Linked DNA regions of Rhinolophus ferrumequinum. The protein of the gene in region 1 purifies or fractionates together with the protein of each later gene. This does not show direct contact. Links are inferred from orthologs where the notes say so. Each region holds a gene or a part of one and is shown in the gene's direction. Other genes may lie near its edges. The genes, in order: SOD1, PRDX2 and TKT.

What was found.
Region 2: the proteins of SOD1 (region 1) and PRDX2 fractionate together in Homo sapiens (co-fractionation; 3 studies listed by BioGRID, with this or other methods). This does not show direct contact. The link is inferred for Rhinolophus ferrumequinum from reciprocal best matches to the Homo sapiens genes SOD1 and PRDX2.
Region 3: the proteins of SOD1 (region 1) and TKT purify together in Homo sapiens (affinity purification with mass spectrometry; 3 studies listed by BioGRID, with this or other methods). This does not show direct contact. The link is inferred for Rhinolophus ferrumequinum from reciprocal best matches to the Homo sapiens genes SOD1 and TKT.

The regions. Positions count from the first base shown.
Region 1 is NC_046285.1:98,047,407-98,054,509, forward strand, and holds the start of SOD1 (superoxide dismutase [Cu-Zn]), read left to right. Parts: upstream 1-4,018; 5' UTR 4,019-4,099; coding exon 4,100-4,171; intron 4,172-7,103. UniProt on the Homo sapiens protein: Destroys radicals which are normally produced within the cells and which are toxic to biological systems.
Region 2 is NC_046301.1:48,770,441-48,778,119, forward strand, and holds PRDX2 (peroxiredoxin-2), read left to right. Parts: upstream 1-4,600; 5' UTR 4,601-4,729; intron 4,730-5,194; 5' UTR 5,195-5,203; coding exon 5,204-5,306; intron 5,307-5,402; coding exon 5,403-5,556; intron 5,557-6,156; coding exon 6,157-6,279; intron 6,280-6,420; coding exon 6,421-6,551; intron 6,552-7,119; coding exon 7,120-7,205; 3' UTR 7,206-7,447; downstream 7,448-7,679. Other genes in the region: RNASEH2A (ribonuclease H2 subunit A), read right to left, coding at 1,098-1,185, 1,288-1,414, 1,540-1,611, 1,805-1,931.
Region 3 is NC_046300.1:48,695,759-48,702,893, reverse strand, and holds the start of TKT (transketolase), read left to right. Parts: upstream 1-4,088; 5' UTR 4,089-4,210; coding exon 4,211-4,317; intron 4,318-7,135. UniProt on the Homo sapiens protein: Catalyzes the transfer of a two-carbon ketol group from a ketose donor to an aldose acceptor, via a covalent intermediate with the cofactor thiamine pyrophosphate.

The DNA.
Region 1 (7,103 bases):
TCTCTGTCTCTCTCTGTCTCTCTCTGTCTCTCTCTGTCTGTCTCTCTGTCTCTCTCTCTCTCTCACACACGAATATTATTCAGCCATAAGAAAAAAAAAAAAAGGAAATCTTACCTGTTGTGACAACATGGATGGACCCTGAGGGCATTACGTTAAGGGAAATAAGTACGACAAAGACATACACGTATGATATCACTTACATGTGGAATCTGGAAAAAAAGAGAGAGAGAATTTATAGTTACAGAGAACAAATTGGTGGTTGTCAGAGGTGTTGGGTGGGAAGTGGGGGGTAGGATGGGGGTACGTAAAAAACAAACAAAAAAAAGAATAAATTCTGTCGACAAAAGAACATTCAGCCTATAGAAAAAGTCTTGTAAGAGTTTAATTTGAGCCAAATTTTGAGGACATGCCCGGAAGCAATATCTCAATGGATTGAGAAAATGCTCCAGAGAAGGGCAGTTTGACAGCTTATTTTAGACATTAAAATCAAAAGAGAAGATGTACGGAGGGTTACAAAAAATCCATCGGTAGTAGAATAAGCAGGTAGGAGAAACGCGGGGAAATCTCTGGGGTTGGATAAAAAGCAAAATGCAGAAACATGCTTCTTCTACATGGTGGGCACAGGATATCAATAATTAACATTAAAGCACATAGAGACAGACGGTTTTGGGAAACAAGATAACAATGAGGGGTTCTATGATCTCATGCTCTGGTGGCGACAGTTGTGCATCTGAGGGGTCTGGAAAAGAAAATTACTCTGACATTTCAAAGGCATATTATGCTAGGTGCACAAAGACAGGCTCCCTTTCCGTAAAGATTGACCTTTGTCAAGGGAGCTGCCATCCTAAGATGTGACTACCCACCACAACCCGCTCTAGTTAGGAATTTTTATGTTCAGACCATCCTGTGTTTGAGTTTGTAAGGCCTACCGTGCACGCCACCCACCCACCCAGCTTGTCAGGTTTAGCATGTGCCCCCTTTTTGTTCACAATTCATTAACCTTGCTCTAGAAGGATGGGTAAAGTTTTTGGCTCCACAGATTCTTTCCCCCTTTGGGAATGTGACCTGAGGAGGGACAGAACAGGGCTCTCTAAATGGTGAGGCCCAGGGCCAGGGACCCCCTTGCCCAGGTGTGAGGGCATCACTAGGAATGAACCTCAGGGGTCCTCTAATCCTGCATGACACAAGCCCCTCCTTGCACCCAAACAAGGGGGCTGCCTGGGTCTCACCTGAATATCCTTAAAGAGGAGCAACTTCCTGGCCCAGGGCAGCTCTTTGCATGTGGGCTGCCTCTGGGCAAGAATTCATCATGAACTGAAATCTGATTCTACCTTCCTGAAATCTAAAGAAACTTTGGCCTTGGGCAAAGGCCCTTTGGCTGGCATTGCATATTGATGCAACAATCTAGCATGTGTCCGTTCTCTGGAAAATACTAGTGAGTACAACACTAAGCAAAATCACAAATAGGTACATTTTCAAGAGGGTGATAAAAAACGTGGATTGTATATCTCTGACAGAGGGTGCCTTAGATTCCAAGGGAAGGAGAAGAAGGAAAGAAGGAAGGAAGAAGAGAAAGGAAGAAAGAAAGAAAAAGAAAAGAAGAAAAAGAAAGTGTAGCCTGAACAGCAGCCCTTTGTCCTTTTTTCACTCTGGCCTTGGATTAGCCTCAGTATTTCGCCATCCGCACAGCTCAGTCCTCTCCACTGAGCATTAGAGGGAAATGTGGATTGTGTTGAGTTCTCAGGGAGATGGGGAAGGTTTCAATTCCACAAAGCAAGTGGAACAAATCCCCAGCAGAGAGAACTCTTCTTCCTAAAGTCTGTCCCTGGTCCATGTCTGCTGGTCTCCACATTTCTTTTTAGGACACTTTCCCCTTTTCCTCTTTTGAGTCAAGTAGCTCCAGCTCTTGTCCCCAACTTGCTTATTTCACTGGGCATGAAAAACACCTGCAAGTCAGAGATTCTCAAAGTGAGATCCCAGACCTGGAAACAAGTTAGGAATGTAAATTCTGGGTTCCCACCCCAAACCTACTGAGTAAGAAACATGGCAACCTGAGGCTTAACAAGCCCTCTAAGAGTGTCTAATGCATTTTCCAGATTAAATTGTGCAGTGTCTAATGCACTTCCAGAAACAGTTCAGCCACCTTTGTTATTTAGGCACACCCTGTGGGCACAGCAGATGAAGATTCTTCTCCCCTTTCATGCTCCCTCTCCCTTCAAGGTTTATCAAACTATTCTTCCAACAAAAGTGTGTGTGTGTGTGTGTATGTGTGTGTGTGTGTATTCTCATTGTAAACCATATTGTTGCAGACAAATGCATAGTTCTCTGTAAAAAAATTCTAAGGGGAGAACATTAGTAAAAGTTTGATTCACAATTCCCCAAAGGTATCCATAGTATTCTGCATATCTTTCTAGAGATTTCTAAGCACACAAGTAAATGTATATTTATACTTAAAAAAAAAAAAACCCATAAAGTAGTTCGCTCATTTCTTAATATGTTTTTGGAATATCTTTCTGAAAGAAGTAATGTTCTGGTGTATGGAGGTGTCAACCAGAGTAAATGAAATCAGGCTTTGGCTAGAAATCAATGCTAAAGACTTTTTCAAGGGTCCTATGGCTTGCAAACAGAAAACACAACTACTATGTTTCCCTGAAAATAAGATCTAGCTGGACCATCAGCTGTAATGCGTCTTTTTGGAGCAAAAATTAATATAAGACCTGGTCTTATTTTAATATAATATAAGACCAGGGCTTATATAATGTAGTATAAGACCAGGTCTATAATATAATATAATAATATAATATAATATAATATAATATAATATAATATAAAGACCGGGTCTTACATTAATTTTTGCTCTAAAAGACACATTAGAGCTGATGGTCCGGCTAGGTCTTATTTTCGGGAAAACAGGAAAGGCAGCACCCAGAGTGTTCTGGAGAAGAAAGAAACGCTGAGGGTTCTTATAGTAAAAAGTACATTCTTGAGAAGAATCAGTCCTGCATTCTCAGCCTCTGGATTGGTCCAAGATGATAATCCTATATATGACTGCTAGTCTGGATACTGGATGCCAAGTGGTCTGGATATGTGAACATTGTCTCCTTAGTCCTTCAGGGGGTAACCAGAGGGTTATCTGGAGGTCTGATATACTTACCCACGCATTGAGCAGGACTGGAAAGTTAGCAGTTTAAATTCCCAGGCTACTAGTTAAAAGAACAACAGAATCAAGTCCTCATGCCTCAACCTACTTGATGTTAGTAACTTAGCAGCTTCACTACAGTGACTGCATTTTATTTCTTCGCTCTATTCCTCAGAGGTATCATAAATTATTTACCCATCCTACCTTTCTCCTTGACTGTTGCGGCAGTAGAGTTAGACAAAAAGAGAGATGTGTAGAAGTAAGTCAGCTGACATTTTGATGTTTTTACCTGTGGCCTTCCTTGTCAAACAGGAAAAATTTGAAAAGAATACGGAGTTATGGTAACCAAATAAGTAACTCTATGTGCTGAGAACCAAGGAAACTGCAAGGAAGAAAATGTGAGGCCAGGGATTGAGACGTTTTGCTTTTACACACCCTCAGAGACCCCCACACCAAGACAATTAAAACAATAAAAACTACAAAATCACCCAGCTCCATGCGTCCCCATTTCTGAATAACAAATCAGAAAACGTTATGACCAAAGTCAGTTATTACTAATTTCCAGACGTTTCCAGACAAAGTGACTTCAGATCTCCAAGGCGTGCCACGTATACCTCATTTTCCCAGGGTCGCGTACAGCAATCCACGATTACAATCTTTGGAAGAAAAAGGTTGTTTTTTTCCACAGCTCCAGGTTTCTGGGCGTTTTACAGCCACAGGAAGGAGGGAGCCTGAGGAGCGAAGGACTAAGTTCCGAACGCAACCCTTTGCTTTGGCCCCGCCCCCCATAGGCCCTCCGTTGGGGAGGACAGTGCACGCGGGCGGCGATTGGTTCTGGGCCGGGGGGAGGGCGGGGCGCGGAGGTCTATAAAAATTCCGCAGCGCAGGTCTCTGCGTCGGCGTTTCCTGCAGAGTCTGCGGTTGCCGTTGGATCGCAGGCGAGAGCGTCACCCGCGAGTCATGGCGACCAAGGCTGTGTGCGTGCTGAAGGGCGACGGCCCGGTGCAGGGCACCATCCACTTCGAGGAGAAGGCAAGGGCCGGGGCAGAGGCCGACGGCGAGAGCGTGCCGCGCACCTGTGCTCGGGAGCGGGTGGCAGGCCGGGCCTCGGGCCGCCCTCGCCACGCCCCCGCCGCGCCCGGCCCGCTAGTCCGCGCAGCACGGGGCCTTTGCCCTGCGGCTGTGCTGCGCCTCCGCGCAGCTACTCGCTCGCGGCCGCGGAGCGCTGAGTCACGGGGTGAGCCCGGCAGCAGCGCCGTGCGTGGCGAGGCTGCCGCGGGCCTGGGTGCAGGGCGGGGTGCAGGGCGGGCCGCCCCTGGGGTGCCAACAACCGTGGGCCCGGGAGGGAGGAGAGAAAGCGAGGGAGGAAGATTAGCCGCCCTCAGGGCCTCGGCTACCGCCGCGGCGTCTGTAGGCCAGAGCGGAGAACTTGACGCTTTTGAAAAGGCTTTGGCCCGTTTTTGCGGGGTCATTTTCTGGGTCTTGAGGATCCTGCTCTTCACAGTTGCGCAGTCCAATACTCGGCCCGCCCGTGAGATAGGGTGGCGGTTGCGCCGGGCCGCTGTTTTCGCATCCGTTACCCCTTTAGGGCTTCATATCCGACTTGAGCTCTCTCGTTCGTGGGTTTGCAAACTATGGCGCACGGGCCTCATCCTTTCAGGACCGGAGTTTGTCCAGCCCTGGAGCTAAGTGTTTCTTAGGTGTTTGTTTTGAATATGTTTATGTTTAAAGGGTCGTGAAAACCAAGACTATGCAACAGAATCCGTTTGTGACCCTTTGCAGAAAAGTTTGCTGACGCTTACTCTGGGTCACGGCCAGGCTCCAAGGGCAAAGAAGATGGCCCTAGATAAAGCTCCAAAAGCCAGAGAGATCTAACCAACTCCCTTGTCGGGGGAAGTTTCCAGAGCAGCGATTTTTAACCGTGGGTGCAAAGTAGGCTCATTTGGGGAGCTTTTAAAAAATACAGATACCAGGGCCCAACTCCAGACCAATTATATCAGAATCTGTCAGGTTGCAATCTGAGCGTTGCAATTTTAAAGTTTCCAAAGTTCTAATGTGCATCCAAGATGGAGAATTAACTGTTGGTGGATGGGGTTGGGAGTTGGAAGTTAGACCGGAGTGTTTCTGTTGCATGGAATTTGTCACTTAACTCGTGGAGCATTTGTTTAACCAAATTCTCTGGGAAGTGACTTTGAAATTGCTCTTATCAATAGGCCTGTTACTGAGATGGTAGAAAACAAACTTTGGAACAGGTCTTGTAAAGTATACAGAAATACTCATTAGTGATATTGCACACGTGTTGTAAGGAAGTTGCTTGTGATAAGACTGTCCCCCAAATCTTAGTAAGGGTACCAACTGGTGGAAATTGTTTATGTTGTACTTGGTTTATTATTCGGAGAGATTATTTAATGTATGAGTGAGATTTAGTCTCTAAAGTGGTTTACAGAAAGGTGAGGACAGGAAACGTAATCTAGATAAGTGGTCCATCTATGAAGTTTACACAAAGGAGAACTTACATTTGAGCTTCATTTTTTCCTTTAAGTGGCTTCCAAATTTTCTGGAAAAGGCCCTTTGCGTTTTATTAAGTTTTATTGTTTTTGTTTGCCAGATTTTGTTTTGTCCCTCTCTCCTCCCCACATAATTCACCGATACTAGAGAGTCTAAGAAGCCTCTGAGGTCTCTTCCTCTGGCCACTGAGAAATGGCTCCTGGTGTTACATTCAGAAACCAAGCTGTGCATCCATACAGAACTGCGGTTCCCGGAGTTTTTCCATATTCCCTGAGCAGCTTACATGTCTCCCTCTTAAGTTCCAAACTTCACTTTGGTAGTGCTAATTGTACCGGATAAAGACCCTTGGATAGTTAAGCATTACAGCTCTACAGATATGCAGATGTATTAAATTGGCAATGAACTGTATTTGTTTGGCCTATTGAGTGTTTAAAAATTTGGATTATTTTCCAGTTTTTTTAAATTAGAAAATTTCACCTGTAAGTCCAAATTCCTAGTTTCTCTTGGTGATTTTGGAGACCTGCACATACCAAGCCTTCATTAGCCCAGGACAGCACTATGCTGGACCAGGTTATGTCTGCTTTGCTTCCCTGACCTGTTTTACATGTTCCCAGGAAGCTTACTGTTGAACTAACATGTGCTCTATGCATTACCATTAAATGGAGGTGTGGAACAACCTGCCCTGTTTGTCTCTGTGCTTTGGATAACAGCCTGTTTTGGAGGATAACATTCACATTTGAGTTTTTCCAAAATTAACGGTTGTACTCAGAAGAATCATAGTATATCTGTTTTCAAAAAGAAAAGCAAAAAAAGGCAGGAGTTGCCACACTACTTGATTTTGCAGTGCTATTTACAATGGAAAGTCAGTCTTCAAGGCTAACACCTCTTGCAACTGTGGGCCCTGACTGTTTAAAAGTACAGACAGCATTGTGTGTGTTGCTGTGTGGTGTGGATGCTTGTGTGTATTTTTAGTTCCTAAGATCCCCCTGTGCCTGTAACAGTAATTGCCTCGACTTATGTGTGTAGCCTTGCAACAAACACCATTACCATCACCATTGCCCGTATGGCGATACTTCTGTTACTTTTACCTGCTTTCGTGTTGTCCTTTCTTTTTAGTCTCAGTAGTTAGAGCACAAAGGTTATTGAGGTTTCAATCCCTAAAAAGACTTCAGAAAAAGTATGTCTGGTTAGATTAGATTTGATTATTCTATGCCAGGAGCAGTGGGATAGAACATTTTCTGGCTATGTATCAAAAATACCAATGCTGGAATTATAATGTACACTGAAATATATATGAACTTGTATACCGTTACACACACACACATACCCATAGGGATCCAAGGGTAGGCAGTTGGACATTTCCCATTTCCCGGTGTGTGTGTGTGTGTGTGTCTCTCTCTCTCTCTCTCTCTCTCTCTCTCTCTCTCTCTCTCTCTCTCTCTCTCGCTTTCTCTCA
Region 2 (7,679 bases), on another chromosome or scaffold:
ATCAGACAAAAATCCGTGTTCTCCTGGAGTGGAACACCCTGGCGAGGGCCACAGACAAGAAACAGGGTAAATAATAAAGGATAGGGGAGAATCAGAAAACGTTATCATTTTAAACGAGGGTGGGGGTTGGGAAGGTTCAGGAAAGGTCATTCTGAGGTGGTGACATTTGAATAAAGGACTGCAAGAGATGAAGGACCCAGTCATTTGGAGGTCTGGAAAAGCATTCTAGGCAGAGGAAACAGCCAGTGCAAAGGCCCTGAGCTGGGACCATTTCCAGTATGCTACACAGCAGTAGGGAGGCCCCATGGCTAGGTCAGGGAAGGTAGCAGGGAAAGTGATCTCCATAGCAGTTACTGTTCTTAGAAATCAGCTTTATTTGCTTACCAGCTCACCATCTGTGTCCCCTGACATGGCCACGAACCCGTGAGGCCAGCGCCCTTGCCAGCCCTCTAGCACTGCGCTGCCAGCTCCACACCCAGTCCTGGACCTCAGCCACCTCCTCAGCAAGACCTCCCTTGTTCCATTCCCTTTTTCAAGTGTATTTGTCTTTGTCATTCTCTCAAAACAGCTCGTTCTTTGCCTCAGAACACTCCATGCCATGCCATCTTATATTTCTCTACTGTAATTTAATCTCATTCTCCTCCCTTTGAGTGTGAGTTTTCCTTATTTAATTCTCACTGTGATCAGAAAATTAAATGTTGACATTTACATTTCAAAAAGATGACTATCTGCTGCTACTGTGTTGGGAGCAGACGGTAGGGGAGGGGGCTGGAGGTGGGGGGACCAGAGAAGAGCATGAGGCAGGTGTCCAGGAGGGGAGGGTGCCCTGGGCTAGGGCAGGTAGACAGATGTGTGATTTGTTCTGGACACTAAGCCTTTAGGATACAGAGATAGGTGGGGATGGGGGTGGGGCTGGGGCCCCACTATGGTCCTTAGTGGGGCATACTTTTGGGGTAGGAAAAGCAGTAGGAAGTCAACAGGAGCAACAAATATTCCTGAGGTACTACAGATATGTCTGACAGTGAATCGCCCACTGCACTCATACCTCCATTTTATCCCGAGGTGATTAAATGGGGGCTACCCAACAGTTAGCTCACCTGAGCGACTTTCACACCCTGGTCCAACGCATACTGCACCAGCCCAGCAGCTGTATCGTGGGACATGGAGTTCAGGTTGTATTTGACCCTGCAGTGGGAGACAGAGCCCAGTCAACCCCGTTCCAGCCACGGATCCCTGCCAGCCCATGCTGGCTGCCCCTCCACCACGGCCCCTCCGGGGATCCCTCACCGCCCAAGCATGCTGGTAGAGATGAGGTTCGGAGAAAGCACGTCCAGTGCCCAGCCCACAAAGTCCCCGTCCTCCTCCATTTTCGCAAAGAGCCTGTCCCGCTCGCTCTCCGACAGAGTCTTTGAGTCTGGGAGATGGGTTGGGAGAGAAGGAGTGGCTGGTTCTCCCAACTCCTGCTCTCTCTCTCCAGTTTGCACCCGCCCCCTGCACATTTCCAGGAACCCCCTTCTCAGATGTACACATCAGGCTCACCTGCTACTTTCAGGGCCTCCAGATCTGTCAGGCGCGACAGAGGGCAATAACAGATGGCGTAGACCATGGGGCCTGGGGGAAGTGGGGATCCAACCAGTGAGCCCGTGAAAGCCGCCTTCCCTGTTTCATCATCACCGCTTTTTCCGGTGCCATCACCACTATCACCACCCCCCACCCCAAATCCGGTACAATCCCGGCTCCCATTCCTGGGCAATTTGCATCCCCCTTATCATGTGCTTCCCCCACCCCGGCCCTGGAGGCGCACCCAGCACAGGGCCCCGGCCCGCTTCATCGACGCCCAGGGCGCAGGGTGCCTTGCGGCACACCGCGGGCACAGGCGAGTTCAGGCGACAGCGGCCCGTATTGTCTCTCTCCAGCTCGCTGAGATCCATGCCACTTTGGTCGCCGCCACCAGCCACAGAAACGAGGTCTGAAGGCGCAGCTTAGGCGCGCGTTTTTCGGGAGCTCCTCGGTGGCTCCGCTCCCGGCCAATCGGAGCACAGGACACGCCCCCGACGCTCCCGCCGCCGTTGACGTTTACGAAGCCGACGCCGTTGCCGTGCCGCTTTCTGGGAATTGTAGTTCTCGAGGCCCACTGCCTAGCTCAAAGTTTGGGTAACGGGTGGGCGGGGTCGCTTTCGAAGCTCCGCTCCGGGGTTTCTGGAGCTGGTGACAGGAGAGGAAAATAAACGAGGAACTGAGGCGGGCCATTGAGGACCCGCCCAGTCAGGGTCTAGAAGGTGAAATACCACTACACTCCCAGAATTCGAGGGTTCGCATCACTGGGTCCCCGTCCCCTACCTGGGCTCTAGAGGCCATTTGCACCCGCGATCCTTACACTCCACATAGTCTAAGCACCCTGGACTAGGTATCTCTGATCCCACTACGCTCAAGCCTTCGGAGATGGGGTCCCCCCAACTCCCTCTCAGTACCTCAACCGCATCTCCACTGCCCCGCCTCTTCCTATCCTCTCTTTCATTCCGGCTAAGCCTCCCCTTCCTTCCAACCGAGGTCTGAGATCTCAAGACCTCAACAGACTCCTTGCTCAGTCTTTGTCCACTACGCAGACTTATTCTCCCCATCTCTGGGTTCATGTCCTATCCCCACCCCCCACCCCGCCCTTCTCTTTCTCTCCCCGCATCTTATTCCCTGGTCTCAGCGGGGCTCTCGTCCTCTGCCTGTGGGTCCCTGGCCTTCACCAAGCTCATGACCCTTCCACAGGGTCACAGCTCCTCCATCTCCGTTTCCCCCTCCCCGTACCCCGCCATCTTTCTTCCTTTGTCCTCGGATGTCAGCGGTGCTCACATCTCCGGGCTCAGCTCTCTTCTCCCCACACCACCCTCAAGCCCCAGGCTTAGGACGCCAGTTCTTCCTTCCAGGTGCCCGCCTCCTACGCGCCCCCCCACCACTCACACAGCCCTTTCTATCTTCCCGCCCACCCAGAGGACTTGCCAGCCCGCACCGGTCCAGCCTCCTCTGCGCCCGTCTGTCACCCGGGCTCAGGGCCTCCAGTCGCAGTCGATGGGCTTGCAGGAGGAACAATCCCGTTGCCCGCAGGGCCGCACTTGCACCAGGTTCTCGCGGTCCATGAACACCGGGCCCGGCGCCGTGCCCAGCACCTCTCGGCTGCGCTCCTGCTTGCCCAGGTCGCAAAGACAGAGCCACTTTCCCCACGGGCCAAGGAGTGAGTCCTCCACGTCTAGGGATGGAGGGCCAGGTGGTGGTGGGGAACCTACCCGCCAAGCTCTCCTCTAAGAGGGGAGGAGGATAAAGACACTACCGTAACAGCAACAGCTCATGTTTGCAGGGCTATGCCTCTGCGCCAGGCACCCTGCCATAGATGATCTAACTGAATCTGCTCATTAGTCCCAGGTTGTGAAACTGAGACCTAGAAAGAGCAAGGCACCATTCCGAGCTCACGCATCTGGTGAGTGGCCCAGAGGAACTGCAAACTGACACGTCCCATCTATGACAGCCTACCAAGTTGGGGCTGTGGTACAACACCCTTGGTGCCCACTATCCGAAGCTGACTCTTGTCTTCCGAGATCACGAGCCTGTCCAGTGGCCACAGTGCCACCTGACTAGCAGTTCTGTCAAGTGGTAAATTAAATGACATAATTGGCACAATAAAGATACTTAAAGCCCCTGACGCTGTGTTAGTAGTAGAACAAAAGAGAGTGTGATCACTTTTAAAAGCAGCTACAACTTATTGAGCGCTTAACCACGCCCCTTTACAGGGTTCTTTTCCCGACTTCTCCCTAAACCCCTATGAGACAGGTCCCAACTCATCAAGCCTCCGTCACACAAAACTCCCTGGCGCACTCTTCCCCCTGTATCTTTGCATTTTTGGCTTTTCTTGTCAAGCCAGCTGTTGGTTACCTATCTTCTTCAGCCGGGCCTTCTCTGACTTCAGAAACTGACCTGCCCCCTTCTTTAAGCAGTTTACATGGAGAGAGAACGTGAGCAGGACCCAAGCAGACACATCCATAAACTCATGGGTAGGTGGTAGGAAGGGCGGAGATGGAAAAACCATGTAAGCTGCTTAAAGGCAGTCTCTATTTCACTTTACAGATGAGAAAACTGAGCCTCAGAGAAAAGTGACCAGCCCAGAGCGAAGGTGGGCGGAGATTTGAAGTCCACGGAAGAGGGTCTGTTTGTAGCCAGCTGGCAAAATAGAGCGATTGGGCACCCTTCCGCGCTGTCACACCCGCGAACTGCAGTTACCTTTCCCCTGATGCTGCAGCTGCAGTTGCTCCCAGGTGTCGCCTTTGCCCTCTTCACCGAAGTAATGGTAATCGGGGGAGACTTGGGCAGGAGTCACCAGCAGCAGGAGAATCAGAGGCGGCAGTAGCAGCGCCTCTGGGCTTCGGGCCATGCGGAACTCCAACTGTCCCCCGGCGCGCTCCAGGGCTGAGCCCGGCGCGGGGTCCCCGTGGGCGGGCGCAGTGGTCCCACCCGCGGCTGAGCCTCTCCCCCAGCGGTCGGCAGGCGCGTGGGCCCGGCCGGCTCCTCTCCTCCACCCCTGCAGTGGCAGTGGATCCGACCGCTCTGCTTGTCTACTACCCCCCCCCCCGCCCTGCGCGTCATGGTTCCGGCCACGCATAAAAGGCTCCGCGGCTCTGCGCGCACTTGGTGCTGAGAAGCTGTCTACGGGTCCGCTGCTCTTTGTGTCCCGCCCTTCCCCACGCAGGTAGGGACACCTGGAACGCACCCGGCTGGGGGGAACCCCTTGGAGCCGCTTCGGCCCTCTTCAAACTTCAGCGCTGGCCGCCTTTGTTTTCCACCCGCCGTGGTGGCCGCCTTTGTCCTTGGTGGGGGAAACCGAGGCCAGAGCCTTGGAGTGCAGGCCGCATGGCCAGGATCCCGGCTCCCAGCTCGCTGGGGCTCCTCCCGGGGCGGTGGGCCAGCGCCACCGCGCTCGGCGACAAGCTAATGGGGGCCCAGCGGCTGCGGCCTGGTGTCTCTCGCTGGCCGGAGGGGCGGGTCTCCCGTGGTCTCAAGGCCGCTCAGAGCGGGTACCAGGGAGGGTGCGGGGCAGTGCCGCTGCCTCCGCCAATCTGACTCAGTCATCGGGCCCAGCTCGAAACATGACCTTGGGAAGTGAGACAAAGGGTCTTCCCGGGCGCTCTGACCGCGCCGGGGGTGGGGGTCTCAGCTTTCAGTCATGGCCGCCGGTAACGCGCACATCGGAAAGCCCGCCCCGGACTTCCAGGCCACCGCCGTAGTGGAGGGCGCCTTCAAGGAGGTGAAGCTTTCCGACTACAGAGGTGAGGGCGACCTGGAGGGGGCCCAGACTGGGGTGGCGCCCTGGCACTCGAGGCGATGGGCCTTCACTCCTCGTCTATTCCTGCCCTCTTCCTCAGGGAAATACGTGGTCCTCTTTTTCTACCCGTTGGACTTCACTTTTGTGTGCCCTACGGAGATCATCGCTTTCAGCGAACATGCTGAGGACTTCCGAAAGCTGGGCTGCGAGGTGCTGGGGGTCTCTGTGGACTCGCAGTTCACCCACCTGGCTTGGTATTAGCGGGGACCAGCAGGGAGGGAGGGTGCAGCCAAGCCTACACCTGTATAGGGTCGGACCTGTGTGTTCTAGTGGCCATTGCTCAACATCTGCGCCTCCCTTTCTCATCTTTAAAATAAAGGAAAAGTGACGCCCAGGTCCTGAACGATGATGACAGTAATTAGCATTTGGAAACTAGTTGCTTGGTGCGGAGTTGCAAATGCTTTTTATCTCACTTTGAGCAAAGCAGCCTCCCTCCCAAGAACTAGTTCAAGAAGGTGGCAACTCCAGTTCAAGGGAGTCAAGGGCTGGGCCCCAGGACACAGCTAGAGAAGAGGATGGGGACTCTGCTTCAAGATGCGTGAGGCTGTAGCACGTGTGAATCCACTTTGCTAGAACAGGCGCATTGGCTTAGCCTTCCCAGCTGTGGGAAACAGTCCCTGCACCCACTTCAGGGTGGGGTGGGTGGGACTCCCAGGGCCTTGCTCTAAAGCCCCTTATCTCTTGTCTCCAGCACCCCCTCTCCAGCTCTTATCACACCCAGGCCCACAGGGTAAGGACCCTGTGGTGCCAGGCATCCCAGTCTGAGGTCCCAGCCCTGTTTCCTCTACCCCCAGGATTAACACCCCCCGGAAAGAGGGAGGCTTGGGCCCCCTGAACATCCCCCTCCTGGCCGATGTAAGCAGAAACTTGTCCCACGATTATGGCGTGTTGAAGAAAGATGAAGGCATCGCCTACAGGTACCATGGGGTCCTCAGGGGACACCTCCCATCCTCAGGGTGAGGGGACCACTCTTAGACGGTGCCCTCCCAACCCCCAGCCCTGTGGCTGGCAGAGAGATGGTTCTCCCAGCTCCTCACAGTGAACACTGATATCTTTAGGGGCCTCTTTATCATCGATGGCAAGGGTATCCTTCGCCAGATCACCATTAATGATTTGCCTGTGGGGCGCTCCGTGGATGAAGCTCTGAGGCTGGTCCAGGCCTTCCAGTACACAGATGAACATGGGGAAGGTGAGTGGGCACACATTCACGGGGGTTCATATGTGAGTAGATACCCAGCCCCTCTTTCTGTCGCTTATGCGGACATTCACTGCCTGCTCTATCACCTGGGTGACATGGATGTGAGGACCCTAAAGAAGATTCAGCTTAGGGCCTTGTCTGCAGGAAGTTTCTCATCTGGTGGGAGAGATAACCCGACTATAAGGATGGAGCGCTGGGAGGTAATAAAGATTTATAGAGAAGATATTTGAGAAGGTTTATGCCACAGCAGGCTTGAATAATGTTAGTTGCATCAGAGTACCTTCTCAGATGGAGGGCACAGCTTGACCAGTCTCTCAAAGTCCAGTAGGGCGAGGGCTGAGGGAGAAAGATGGGGCTAAAAAGAAATAAAAATATCAGCCCCAAAATCCTGCACCTGGGCTTGGGGGCTTCTGTCAACATGTGGTGTGGTGTTGGGTCTGGACCACTTGGCTGTGGGCTTTTTCTTCTGCAATTTGGGCTCTTGCTTTGCCTCTCACTACTGCCCTATCTTGAATATGGGGCTGTAGCATCACATGTGCATTCTTGTGTCTTCCCACAGTCTGTCCCGCTGGCTGGAAGCCAGGCAGTGACACAATCAAACCCAACGTATATGACAGCAAGGAATACTTCTCCAAACACAACTAGGCTGGCAGACGGATGCCAAGCTTGGGCTCTTGGTCCCCACCTGTGCCCCCACCTGGGTGCCCTGTGCTGGCCCTGGAAAGGCCAGACCTGCCCCTTCACGTTCCAGTCAATGATCCTGGAAGGCTAGGCCATGGCCGTCACGTATTCCTAGCTGAGTGGTGAATGGTGAACCCCTCCCTAGAGCCTACCTAGTGAGGCACAGGCCTAGAGGTGACCAATAAAGTATTAGGGACAAATATGAATCTGTTGGTGTGTTCTGTTCTGATGTTCCCCCCCTTCCCCTTTCCTCGAGGCTCTGGCCTTGGGAAACTAACACTGTAGTTACTTATCTTCACCACAAGGTGACAGTCTTACCTCATGCTCACTCCTTGGCCTCAGAGCAGTTGTGTGGGGGGGTGACTTTTGCCCCCTGCTGGGAACAAATCCCACAATACCCTAAAGGAACCTGGCCTTGGAGGGCAGTGCCCATCCCTT
Region 3 (7,135 bases), on another chromosome or scaffold:
GGAAGAGAGAACTTTCAGGCACAGTACTGATCCCAACAGGAAGAGACATACCTTGCATCTCTGACAGGAAGTGATCCTACTCTACTACCGCAGGAGGAGGAAGAAAAGATTCCTTCTAGCCCAGTAATAGCTCAGCCAATGGGAGGCTGCTGTAACATTATCAAAAGAAGGATTTCCTGAAAAATGCCTCCTGAAGGAAATTTCGGGCATTGAGAGGAGAGATGGACTTATTAAAACTCAATTAATCAGCGGTAGCCAGTTAGCTCAGTTGTTTAGAGCATGGTGCTAATAACACCAAGGTTGCCGTTCGGTCCCCAGATTGGCCACTATGAGCAGTGCCCTCCTTAAAAAAAAAAGAAAAAAGAAAACTCAATTAATCAACCTACAAGTCCATATAGAGTGGTCACAAGTGGGCACAAGGCTGGAGGCACACTCGCACAGGAGTCTACAGACCTGTAAGCCCTGGATCTGAGTGAAGGAAAGTGCCCTGAGAACCCAGACTGGGATGTTGGCTCCAGTGCAAGCCCTGTGCTGGCTTGGGGCCCCCAGCACCTAGCCCAAGCATGCCCCAAGGGCACACATGTAGGCCGGCCCTGCCAAAGCAATGCCCAGCACTGTCAGTTAGGAACACAGCTGCTCAGGGCCCATTCATGACTCATGGGGGCTCTCCAGGGACGTGAAGGAGGAGCACAGCAGGATAGCTCTGCCCTGAGTTTCTTTCGGACAGCAAAGCAAGAGTAGGAGACCCCACCCACCAGCACCCACCTCCTGGGGGTTTACTCCCAACCCAAACACATCCAGGGCAGCAGCCTGGCTTATGAAACACAGGGGTAGCTTAACATAACCACCAGAAATCAAAAGAAAAAAATGCATTCATAAAAATGCACCCCATCCCCCAATCTCAGCAGTATTTTTTTCAAGATAGAATTTTGTTTTGATTTTTTTTGGATTATAAAAGCCAACACTGTTCACTGGCATTAAATTCCAACAAAAGAGAAATGTGTAAAATAGAAATTAAAAGTCCCCCTCAGTCCCACCATCTAAAGTCCCCCACAGCTTGGAGTGTGTCCCTGCAGCCTCTCTGCTTTGCCCATGCAAACTGATAAACACGCATATACTCTGGCAAACACACGTGCACACACCTGCTTTTATTTATTTTTGACAGAAACAGGATCACACTACCTGCTGTTTCCTGCCTTGCTTTTACTCCATCAACAGTGTATCACATCTTCCCGCCCCACACGGGGCTTTCAGGGCTTTACCTGCCGCTCCACACTCAGCCCTGTGGGACACGCAGCAAGTCATTGAACTCAGGTCCTAAGGGTCTCTCTCCCCAGTATTTTTCCCTGGAGAGTTCTCAGCACCCGCAACAGAATTGCCTGAGAAACGCAGAGTCCTAGGCTTCACCCCAAAAATTCTGATTCAGAAGGTTACGTGTGGTACCCAGGGATCTGTGTATTTAATAACTGCTCAGGCAGCTCTTGTGACCTAGTCAGCTAGGAGACTGTCATGTCTGGTCTTTGAGACCATTAAGGAATTACATTTCCCCACAGGCCCATCTAATTTCATCCCCAAGAGTAAGATCATTTCTGAGGAGGTTTGGTCATCACGCTGATCAGGTAAAATTACTGCTCAGGCCCCCACCAGGCCCTGTCCTCTGCCATCATAGACATTTGGCTGGTGGAACTTCCCACAGGACCATTTCCCAGGCACAGACTTCCCAGTCTAAGGGCATGAGCATTGTGGGGAACCTTCGCATCTGAGGGTCCGGTTGGGTGCCCAGGGCTGAGCAGCAGGAGGAACTGGACCTTGGCTGTGCCCTGTGCCTTAGGTGGGAGAATTTAAGGAAGATTACGTTAAATTGGGATAAAGCAAAGCCGGGATTGGATTACAGAATAGTTAAGATTATGTGCTCTCTTGAGGGTGGTTATCCCTTCGAGGGGTATTACTTCTGGCATTTCAAAGGTGTGTTAGCCTAGATGCATAAGAGCAATGGACAGGGCTTGTTCAAAAACCTTTCACTAAAGAAATTACAGGCATGGGGCGTGACTACCCACCATGATTTTCCCAGTTAGGAATCTAGGATTTATTGCAGCACCTCTTTTTCTTCCACTAGATCCAGGCGGTGTGAAGATTTCAAGAAGGGCATTACTGTCACAGGGAACAGCCTGTGCAAAAGCCTCTAGGCAAAGCAAGCTTAGTGTTTTTCAAGGAAAGCAAGAAGGCCAGTGTGGCTGGAATGGGGTTGTGGGAGTAGACGTAAGTAGAGAGAAATGGGAGAGAGGCGGAGGGCGGGGGGATAGAGCATGCTACCATGGAGGGGCCTGATATTCTAAGGGTGGAGGGAGATCAATGGGAGGTTAGCTGGGCAGGAACAGGGATTCTCTCTGGCAGCCATGGAGAGAGAGGCTCTCAGGGAGGCTGAAAGAGGATGGGGGAAGGGGAGCAGAGGAGCAAGATGGCAGTTTGAAGCCAGGCAGAAAGCCAGCAGGACCCGAGGTCTCCTTCCCAACTGACATGTGATTTATGAGGAGCATGTGGCTGAATAGACTCAGGACCTGGGGACAGGAGTAGTGCCTTGGACAAATAGAGTGTTGACAATACCTCCCGCCAGCCCAGGATTCTGGTTCTGAAGCTGACCTTGGTGAAGGCCAAGAGCTCCTGAAATGTAGCTAAAGCCCAGGATGAATTGGGTCTCATTCACCTGGAACCCCAAGATGAGAAGAAGCTAGAATCAGGGGTCTCTAGATGGAGGGGCATTTTCTTTCCATCACTATGGGGTCCCTAGAGCCAGTGAATCCCATGCCACCATCAGTGACCAGGTTGGGTATAGGGGATCAAGGATTAGTCCCATTGGGCAGGTGGGGAAATTAGGGTTTGTAATAGGAGGCCACTGCTCTAAAGGCCACAGAGTTGGAAGGCACAGAGCTTCCAAATGGTTTCAACGGTGTGTCCTTTTATCACACCTTGAGCAGCCTGAGGACAGAGCTGGCATACCCCAGGGTTACCTCACTCTATCCAGTCTGCAGTGCTGGCTAACTTCGGGCCAGCCTCAGGTGGGCAGGCTTCTGTGGGCTGGGCCAGCAGGAGCCAAGTGCTTGAGGGTCTGGCTGGTATGTGGGAGCCAGGCCAGCAGAGGAGCAGCCAAGGAACACTTGGGGGTGAGGTGGGTGACTCACTCACATCCAGTCCATTGTCCCACATGACCCAGAGCTCTGAATGTGGGCTCTGCAAAGGACACCAAGTGGACACAGGCAGCATCTGGCCCCTGGTGCCTTCCACAGTTCTCTCAGAGGCTCAGCATCAGACAGCTCTGGTGCAGGCCCCTGCTCAGCCACCAGCTCCAGAGGCCTGCCTTTATCTCTCCTTTTTAACATGGAGCTTCCGCCTGTGGAAGATATGGTAAGTGGCATTGACCTCATGGGGCATGTAGGGTGGGTGGATTCCAGTAGACAGTCACTTTGATGATGGTACCCCTAGTCTGGGGACTCCCATCCCTCTGGGGGACAAAGAAGTCTGTTAACAGCGGAGGTGGGCGCTCTCTTGGAGATGGGGCTTGAGGATGGGGCTGGTCTGCTAGGACAGAGCCCCACACCCACCAGCCCTGTGACCTTGTTGACCTTGCCAGTCTCAATGTGCTCATCTGTAAAATGGAATTCCAGTGAAGCCTCCCCTGTCAATTCCACCCAAGGACCTTGGCGGAGGAAGGAGACAGACCAGTCTGCAGTGAAGGTGCAAGTCAAAAGGCAAACTCTGAGCCAAGCCTAGAATCTGGAGTAATTATTTTTATTTGTGTGTTTGGTAATTACCGCGGGGCAGTGCCGCCTGACGCACAGTAGCTCGGCAGCCCGTAGCTGCCGGCAAATGTTGGGGGAGGGAAAAGAAAGGAAGGGGAGTTCGGGCAGGTGAACAGCATCCGGCTGGTTCCGGAGACGCCGGACTGAGCGGCGGCCTCAGTTTCCTGATCAGCGCGGAAGGACTGGAGAACCCGCCGCCCAGGGCAAGGGGGCGGGGCGGGGCGGGGCGGGGCGGGGCTGTCAGCGCGCGGCGGCCTCGGGTGATGCGGCCGCCCCGCCTCCAAGGGCGGGCCCAGGAGTCTTAACGCGCCCCCGCGCGGTACCGGGCTTCGGCCTCTGCCGGTTTTTGCACGAGCCACCTCCTTACTTCTGTGTCTCCGCGTCCTCCAGCCCCCTGCTCGCCCGGCCGCGCTATGGAGGGCTACCATAAGCCTGACCAGCAGAAGCTGCAAGCCCTGAAGGACACCGCCAACCGCCTGCGCATCAGTTCCATCCAGGCCACCACGGCGGCCGGCTCTGGGTGAGCGCCGACCTGGGAAGGGGGCGCCGGCCTCGGCGGAGCTCAGGCTGGGGTGGGGGAGCCGGTTCGGAGGCCGCGGTCGCCGCCAGCACGCCGGCTGCCTGTGGCGCAGCACGGTGCCACCACGAGAGGGGCGGCGAGGGACGGGTCAGGTGGCGGAGGCGCGCGCCTCGCTGGGCCCGGGCCCAAGCCGCCTTCCGCTGCGCCGCGCCGTCTCGGCCGGGCTTCCGCCCTGCTGGCCTCGGCGCCCTGTGCGCCTTAGGCCGTCTCTGCTCTCGTAGTACGATTTCGGCTGCGCTAAGGTGCGGAGGACGAGGCTCGCAAACCGTGCGGCCCCTCTGCGTCCCTGAGGGAAAGGCCACCAGTATTGCGCTCGTGCGGAGCCAGGCCCTGTACCGTGCGCCCTACGCGCGCGGCCCTCTGGACCCTGTCCACGCCCTGTGCGGGGAAACCGAGGCTCCGAGTTTAAGTCAGTTGCCCAAGGTCACTCACGGCGAGAGCTGGAATTTGAACCCAAACTGCCCAACTCGAAAGCGCCTGTTTTAACTCCTCATCTTGCCGGGAGACTCGGCCTGGCCCTCTCCCCACTTCACACTGCCCCGCCCTTTGGCCATCTCACATTCCTGCCACCCTTGGGTTGGAGTCCGAGTTTGCCGCCGGGGATTGCTGAGACTCCGAGCTAGGGAGTGGGGTCGGGGGGAGAGCGGAGGAAGGCAGCCACGTGGATGCAGAACCCTGGCGCCGGAGTGAAAGGGAGCTCTTAGATCTGACCTGGGGCAGGAGGTGGGGGGAGGGGTCAGAGAGCGGGTACTTGGAAGGCCGAGAGAACCGAGGACCGAGCCCCAGGGCTCGGGCAGTAGGAATGCGGTCCTGTGGGCAGGGCCAGCAGCCAGGTGCACTTTCCCCAGGTCAGAGGCTGGGGCACCCATCTCCCAGTGTTCTTTTGGGGCCAGCCCTTCTGGCCGAGAAGGTGCAGAAAGGCTGATGCTGATCCCCAGAGTCCTCCCTTGCAGACGGCTAGTGGCCGGGACAGTGATAATAACAGGGGCCACCATACAGCTGGAGGCCACCGGTGGGGGAGTTAAGGTCAGAGTCTGTCCTGCTCTGAAATGAGAGCAATGGCAGCTCCTACTCACTGGGCTGTTTCAAGGATGCAAGCCTCTCCCTTAGGGCCGGGCATGAGGCTGCACAAACAGGAATACTTTGGGTTCATGAAATGAATTTGGGGGCTGGGTGGGGGGTGATTTCCAAGAACCTTCCCAACCAAGCCGTGTGCTTAGAACAAAGACAAGATGCTAGCTTCTGGACAAGTATATACGGTCAGTATTACTAAGTGCATTCTTTTTTGTACCTCCAGGGTGGGTATGTTCTACCCCTTTGTGCCTGTAAGACATCCAGAGCTCAGAAGGGATTAGACCTCTGTTGGCAGGCCCTTTCCCTTCCACCCCACCCCCGTGCACACTTTGGACCTCTTATCTCTATTGGGTTTGTATCAGTCCTACTCATTGTGTGGGGGCCCCTGCCCTGGCAGGGACCCAGCTTACTTGCCGTGCTCCCTCCCCCAGCCTGGCACACAGTAGGTCTGCACACCCTGTAATGATTCTTGGGTACTACAGGTCCCCTTCTCTTGGCCATTTCTGGGGGTGACTCGCCCTGCAGGGCCTTGTTGAGCCCTACTGTGTGCTAGGAGCTGCTATCGAGCCAGGCTCTTGGGGGTCTAGCTAGAGGGACAGCAGTTACCCAACTAGATGGTGTTATCCCTCTGAGCATCTTGTAGGGCCAGGTGAGACCTGTGGACAGTTACAGGGTTACTGAGCCACACAGGTATCTCTGGTGTGACACAGCATCCTTTATTGCTAGTATTCTCCTGCATTCTGAGAAGAACCCTAGGAGATACGTACTATTTCATACACATTTTATCGATGAGAAAACTAAGGTTAGTGCATTCAGTGACTTGCCCCAGCTGGTCATTGGTGGTGGTTCCATGCTGCCCAGTGAGGGGCGTCTTGCGTTTTCAGAAAGACTTCCTGGGCAGATAAGAAAATGGAGAGAAATTGGAAATGGGGAGATCAGATGCAGTGATGGTAGGTGTCAGTCAGCTTGAAGGCACTTGGAGAGAAATGAAACGTGCAGCTGTTGGGAGATCCCAAAGGGAGGGTGTGTCCAGTGGGTCTCCTGGGTCTTTACTGCCTAGTTAAACTGATTCCTGTGGGGGAAAATACTGTCTGAGAATATAACAACTGAGGCTTTACACTGGGTTTACTTTGTGGTGTCTTACGGAGGAACTCACTGAACTCCAAGTGTCCATTTGCAAAAAGAAAAAGTGTAAAATGTAGTGATTTCTGCGTGTTTGTGAGTGTGTAAAAGATACAGGAAAGAAACACTTAGAGAAAATTTATTTTTCAGGAGGAAGTAACCCTGCTATGCAACCCCTGTCACAAGAGACTTCGAAAGATGTGTGCCAAGAGCTATATGTGTGCGCAAAACTAGTTTTGGAAGACTTGAGTTCAGGGCAGGGTTCCGGTCCCTGGATGTTTGTTTTGAGGCTCCCTGTTTCCTCACCACAGTGGGTGAGTTCCATCCAGTGAAGACTGAGTCCTGACTCCTTGGCCCAGTCTGGGCAGCAGTCACAGCCGAAGTGACCGTCTGTCAGGGTGCCCCCTTTCTGGGCGAGCTTACATCCCTGGTGGTGAAAACAGCACCTAGATCAAGTCTTTTCATTGTCATTCACCCACACCGGCTGGACTCACATTGTTCCATTGAGGACACAGGCTGTCGGGTTCAGAATTCGATGGGGTCCTGATTTCTCAGTAGCTTT